2 linked regions of the Danio rerio genome follow. The main gene of each other region encodes a partner of the protein of the gene in region 2 in a complex. Links are inferred from orthologs where the notes say so. Each region holds a gene or a part of one and is shown on either strand. Other genes may lie near its edges.

The links. Proteins that work in one complex are often made in the same cells at the same time.
Region 1: lsm11 (region 2) and lsm10 share a complex: the UniProt entries of both Homo sapiens proteins name them as parts of the heptameric ring U7 snRNP complex. The link is inferred for Danio rerio from reciprocal best matches to the Homo sapiens genes LSM11 and LSM10.

The regions. Positions count from the first base shown.
Region 1 is NC_133194.1:4,215,270-4,219,363, forward strand, and holds lsm10 (U7 snRNA-associated Sm-like protein LSm10), read left to right. Parts: upstream 1-1,208; 5' UTR 1,209-1,281; intron 1,282-2,081; exon of another isoform or gene 2,082-2,164; intron 2,165-3,118; 5' UTR 3,119-3,124; coding exon 3,125-3,487; 3' UTR 3,488-3,564; downstream 3,565-4,094. Other genes in the region: protein OSCP1a, read left to right, coding at 518-637. UniProt on the Homo sapiens protein: Appears to function in the U7 snRNP complex that is involved in histone 3'-end processing. Increases U7 snRNA levels but not histone 3'-end pre-mRNA processing activity, when overexpressed. Required for cell cycle progression from G1 to S phases.
Region 2 is NC_133189.1:39,991,966-39,994,845, forward strand, and holds the end of lsm11 (U7 snRNA-associated Sm-like protein LSm11), read right to left. Parts: intron 972-2,880; coding exon 660-971; 3' UTR 553-659; downstream 1-552. UniProt on the Homo sapiens protein: Component of the U7 snRNP complex that is involved in the histone 3'-end pre-mRNA processing. Increases U7 snRNA levels but not histone 3'-end pre-mRNA processing activity, when overexpressed. Required for cell cycle progression from G1 to S phases.

The DNA of each region.
Region 1 (4,094 bases), on a different chromosome or scaffold from region 2:
TATATACAAATTACATTTTGATAAATGGAAAGTTTATTAAAAATCTATAATATTCCATGACGTGGACAAAAAAATAAATAAATAATACTGACTTTAAATGTCTGAAATAGACCTTTTAAATGTCTATGATATTCCAGAAACTCTATTACCTGTGGGAACCCTTAATACAAATGTAAAGAGACCAAATCATAGTTTTTTTATTATATTATATATCTACACTCTGTATTAATTACTGTATATTACTATATACTGGATGGATGGATGGATGGATGGATGGATGGATGGTTGGATGGTTGGATGGATGGATGGATGGATATGCAGATAGATAGATGGATGGATGGATGGATGGATGGATGGATGGATGGATGGATGGATGGATGGATGGATGGATGGATGGATGGATGGATGGATGGATGGATGGATGGATGGATGGATGGATGGATGGATGGATGGATGGATTGATTGATTGATATTTTGTTGTGGTTGTTGTTAATAAAAATTACCTTGGTATTACCAGGATGAGCTGGCCAGCACTGAACTGGCTCGCATAGCGGAAGAGTTTGATGAAGAGGGAAACCAGACGGAGGAACTGGGAAACAAGGGTGATGATTTGCTGGCCATGATGGATGAGCTCTAAAGGTCAGTCGCTATCAACAGTGAGTCAGAAAGCATGTGGCAGGTCTGAAAGGTCACAAAAAATATGCTCTGTTAGAAAATGCCTGACATATTTACTTTCATAAACATTATTAAGAACAAGCTGGAAGGCATATTCAGCTGTCATCGGTTCCCTTCATGGTTTTATTTGCTTCACACTTTATTTGAAGTGTTGTATTAACATTTTTCACTACTTTTTAATGATAAAACATTTAGTTTTAGTTTTTCATAATTTTCAAATAATACATGGTATGTTAAATACAGAAATGTAACGAACCTACATTTCAAACGAAGCTAACGTTATTCTGACAGGACGATGAAATTAAAATGTCGACTACAGCAGTCAACGCGTCTTAAAATAACAGTATATATCAACTCGCCCAACATATAGAAAGCAGCAGCATTTTAGGAGATAACTTACACTGAATTTAAAAACAAAAAGTTTGTAAACTAACCAGTTTCTCCGATTAAATATTGACGTTGTACACGTAATGAGCCACCAGAGGGCGCGCGAACGATTTTAATCCGGTACGTCTTGATGACGTAATTATCAGCTGCGACAAAGCGCGGTGCTCGAAACCATTAGGACGTAAACATGTTTTGAGCATGTAGACAACACCACGGAAGGTAATAAATGTTTTATTCACTCTCTAGTTCAGCAGCTTTTTATGAGTGGCTGTGGTTTTGTTAAAAAATTAAACAGTCATGTTCTCGGTTGAGTTGCAACTCTCGCGTGCTCCATTAAGTCGTAAAGGTTTCCTGTTCAGCTAGTTAGTAGTTAAGTGGATACTGTACACTGGTAAGTCAGCTACTATCCAGTGTGCAATCGTCATTTCTGCTTATTTCGGTATTTAACTTTGGAACCAATGCAGAGTCAGTATAAAATGCACAAAACCTTAACTACACACACATACATTAATAAATAAAGCTGCGGGTTAACTATGTTTATATATATATATATATATATATATATATATATATATATATATATATATATATATATATATATATATATATAAGCTATTGTTAAATTATTAGTAACTAATACAGTACAGTCACTAATATTATCTTTTCTAAATTTGATTGTAATGCAATAATTTGCACCTCTGAAACATTCATTATTGTGAAAAGGGCTGTACAAATAAGCCTGAATTGAATACTAGCCTTGGTATGCATACTATACTTATTGATTTAATGTTTAATATAATATAAAAAATTATCAAACAATTAAATAATAGTTGGCTAAAATTGGCACAAAAATCTTCCTACACATACACAAATAGACATATGAAGACATTAAAAAGTGCAAAAACGTATGGAAACATAATATATTATGTATGTATGTGTATGTTATGTTATTAACGCGGATTAAAATTCATTTAAAGACATTTGACAACATATTTCACATTTCACCTTTGTAAACAAACCTGCTTTGGATATTTTCTATCAATTTCATAAAAGGCGGTGTGCGATGTGTCTGTCAGCGGAGCCGTAAACCTGCAAGCATGCACTTGCCCACAACATTTAAATACAATTATTCAGCTTATGACAGACATTTTTTACATTTATGTGAGGCAACCATTTTCCATATACTTCTTTGAGATTTACAGATATACAGTTCTCAACATAATCGAGTACACCCCATTTTGAAAATGAATATTTTTATCTATTTCTTGGTGAGTATAGGGCATATATTTTGGTGCATTTGAACAAAACAGATTATATATATATATATATATATATATATATATATATATATATATATATATATATATATATTTAATATTTTACTTACAGAACATTTTTAGAAATTTTAGATTCTACATTCAAATTAATGTAAAATATTGAGAAAATAATTACAAACTACTTTTGGACTGTTATCATAAGTTATTTTGTTAGATTAGCTCCAGATTTGGCTTCAGTACTAACTAATACAATACATAAATATAATATTCATAAAGCTTCTTGTAGAAAACATTAATTTAAATGAGAGATCTGTGGGGCTGTACTTGTATATGTTAAGCACTGTATTTGCTGTAAAACATCTGCGGATTTATGCAGAATGATTTTAGGAGTATCATTACAAAAATCTTAATAAATTAAATAAAAATAATACTGTTTTAACTTGTATTTAATGTTTACAGTGCAAATCCAACTAGATCCACTTATTCGGTAAACAAAGTCTCTCATATAATATATCTACTAACAGATGGAACATATTAATTTACATACTGTATTGTACATAAATCATATGATAATTTTCATATTAGTCAATAATACTGAAATTAATTTCAAAATTGAATGCATATACAAAGTAAATAAATAGACTCAACGATGCACTAAAAATCTGCGTCATGCTCCACATGTTGATTCTGTGTGGGTCTAGTCATTACGTAGTATTATAATCAGATATTATATCACACAAAAGAAATCGTCTGATTGTTTATGATTATTTTGTGCACAGATCAACATGGACGTGAGCCATTCGATACGTGAACGCACCATCGCTGAGAACAGTCTGGTGATCCTCCTGCAGGGTCTGCATGGACAGGTGACCACAGTTGACCTGCGAGACGAGAGCACAGCGAGGGGCAGAGTGATAAATGTGGACGCTTTCATGAACATCCGGCTGGAGAATGTCCTATACAGGGACAGACGGGGACGCAAGTCGAGCATGGATGATCTCTTCATTACTGGCAGAAACGTGCGGTACGTCCACATCCCTGACCAGATCAACATTATAGAGACAATAGAGGCGCAGCTCTCCAAAATACACCGCGTGCGAAACTTCGGAGCGGGCGGTGGACGGAAGGAGTACTCAAAGAAAAAGTAGCTGATGCTTGCAGTGTGTTTTTGATGGGAATGCTCGTTGGTGAATAGTTTGTTTATATTAAAATGGTTTCTGGGTCATGTGGGAAAATGACTTGTGTTTATTTTGAGCGTCTCTGGTGGTTTGAGAATTACATAAGCAGATTAGTGAAATGACTATTGACTGATGAGTTATTTAATGTGGCGTTGTTTGTTTAAACTACACGCTTTGCTTTTTCCCATGTCAATATTGCTTAGCCAAAAGTACACGTATATTTAAGGTTATATGCAAATATTGGTACACTGATGCATTTAACACTTTGTTTACAGTGTAATGGGAATGTTTATTTTCAAAATTGGCGCTTTTAAATATTTGTAATGACTTCATGAGATCAAATGAATGACTATTAAATTGGATATCTCATTCATTTTCCTTCAGCTTAGTCTGATTATCAGGGGTTGCCACAGTGGAATGCACTGCCAACTATTCCAGCAGGAAGAGCCCCGTGCTGTTGGGGGGGGGGAGGGTTAGGACGATTCTAAGGACTCACACAGTTTTGGGGCCCCCAGAGACATTATTAGGGGCCCTAATGACCCCACCCCTTCCACTCTTCACTTTGGTCAGCAGCATC
Region 2 (2,880 bases):
ACCCGAGTCTCTGGGTACTTGAATAAGGTAATGCAAAATGTCTTGTATCAAGTGTAGGAATAAAATGACGTGAAGCAATGCATATTGACATGTGACTGAATAAACCGCACCATTATAGTTAATGTATGCAGCAAATGAAAATAACAATCAGACGTCAAGACAAAAAAGCCTTGAGTGCCACATGCAATTTCCAGCCTCAAAAAGCCCAATTAACCCATTTATATGGTTTTACCAAAAATCCATAGAGACCTGCTGCAATTTGTGCACTTAAAGAGAGAAATGCCTAACAGAAAACTATTTAAGTGTGACATGAAAATAGGAGCATCTACTGGCGAGCCTTAGTTTCAGTGAGACTGACAGATTGACTTTCACTTTGAATATCAGCAAATGATTTCATAAATGTATTAAGATTTCCTCTTGATGATTTATAAAATGTGTAACAAAATAGACTTATGCTTACTGTGCATCAGTGTTTTACTTCCCCCTAGAGGTCATTCAATGCAAAAGCAAACGGTATGTCTGTTGTTTAATAGATCAACAAATTGACCCAACACTATTTAAAAAGAGTTTATTTTACTCAATTTTTAACAATTTCATTCAGTGATTTACATATCAATATGATACACAAAACATTTCTGGGTAATTTCCAAAACAAGTGTTTAATCCTGTTGTATGTTCACAAGTAGTACGTTTTCTCCTCGTATGAACAGCTGATTGACGTGACGCGTGTGCACTCTTCCATACTCCACTTTAGGCCTGCTTTCAGGTTTTTGCATCTCTCTTGATGATGTACTCTTGTCTATCTCGGAGAGCTCGGGTTTCTCCTTGTTGTGTCTGGAGTCGGATCTCCTGCTTTGGTCTTTGAGTTGAGATGAACCGCTGCGTGGGTCTGACTTTAAGAGTTTATCTCCTTGCTTCCTCTCCACGGCACTGAGGGCTGCAGTCTCTTGCACTTTTAGCTTTTCAAATAGCTGTAATAGAAGATTAATTAGATTTCCAAAGCAATAGAATTATTTTCAAAACTGTAAAAAAAATAAATAATAAAAAGCTTTAATCCTTCAGTAAAAATTAAATGTTGATTAAAGATCAAAATGTTAGTTGTAATGGCGTTTTCTTCTATGTTGTAGTGTAAATTTGAGTGAAACTGCTTCCCAAGCTTGGCTTTCTTTTCAACTGGTAACACTGATTCTGGAAATATATTTCACATTAATTTTTTCTTAGCAGTGTTGGGGGTAACGCTAATTGTGTGATAATGTTACAACGAAAGAAATAATATTGCTAAATAAAGAGTAAAAGTAATGCATTACTTAAAATTATTAAGTAATAATATTTGAGTTACCTTTATAATTTAAAAAGCAAAGCCAGTTACTTTTAAGTTAAATTAACCCTCTCAGGCTCAAATAAATTTTTAGAAACAGGAAAAATCTGATATTTGGGGAAAATTATCATATGGCGTTCTGGGAGATTGCAGATTTGCAACATTGGCTCAGTGTGGTAATTAGACACTGACGACTGAATATATGAAAAAATATTTTTTTTATACAATTTATACAAATTTTTTAATAAAAAAAATTTTATATATACAACTTTTTAAGCAATGTAACAAATTGCTTTTCAGTGGCAGAACAACAACAAAAACAATATGGGATCTAAATCCAGTATCTCAAATCCTCATCGAGTAGGTCATGTTTCCAAGTCACTTTGACATGTGGTACTCCAAGAAACTTTTTTTTTGTGTGCGTGTCATCTGGTGAGCAAGTGGGGAAACTGTTTGTTGCAAATGGACAACCAAGTCCTGCAGTGGTACTTCTGAGTAAAAAAACTTATAAAATATGTATCTGGAGTAATAAGGTAGTTAATTTTTAACTGTTGCAAATCTGCAACGCCTGCCTTGAAAGGGTTAACTTTAAAAAGTACTTATATCTAAAATTTATGTAGTTATGTTGAGTCAATAAGAGAATGTTCTCCCTGCGGGAACAGACATAAATGAAAAAGCCAGACACTTATAATTCTGCAATGGAAGTATTCTCATTTTTGTCTCAATGGACAGTGATTTTACTTAACTAATAACTAGGCCCACACGGCATCTGCGCGAGCAGAATTCCAGATTTTTAGCCCTTCATTGAGTCTGTTTATTTATTTATTTGTGTAAATTTATATTAATTCAGTTTTTTAATTAATTTCAGTAATATTATTGGCTAATATGAAAATATTCAAATGATTTATTTAAAATATAGTTTGTAAAGTAATATGTTCTGCCTTTTAGTAGAGATATTATATGAGAGACTTGCTTTGTTTACCAAGTGGATCTAATTGGATTTGCATTGTGAACATTAAATACAAGTTAAATTACTTTTTTGTTCATATATTAAGGTTTTAGTTCAAAATTCAGATTTCTAACAAAATTCTAAGCACAAATAGCAAAAAATGTCTGCAGATTTCCAGCCCATCAATGAGTCTATTTATTTACTGGTGTAAATGCATATTTTTTCAGTTTTCAAACTAATTTCAGTAATATTGACTAGTATGAAAGTGTTCCTTCCTGTATAAAGTGTGTAGTGAGGAGTTTTACAGCTTTAAAACACCTATAAAAATTGTAAAAAAAAAAAAATTAAGTGGACAACTTTGCAGGTTTTGCCAATTGCAGGTTATTTTTGGAACGTAACTCCTGCGTATAATGAGGGACCACTGCAACTTAATATTGTGATGCATTACTTTCAAAAGTAGGGATATACTGTATATATACACAGTTGAAATAAAAAAAATTAATGAATAAAACCAACAAGAAACCTTACATATTTGTCACAACATTACAAACTTGAATTTAAATCAGAATAAGAAAATGGTTCAAAATTAATATATTACGGTACTTATTGTCAG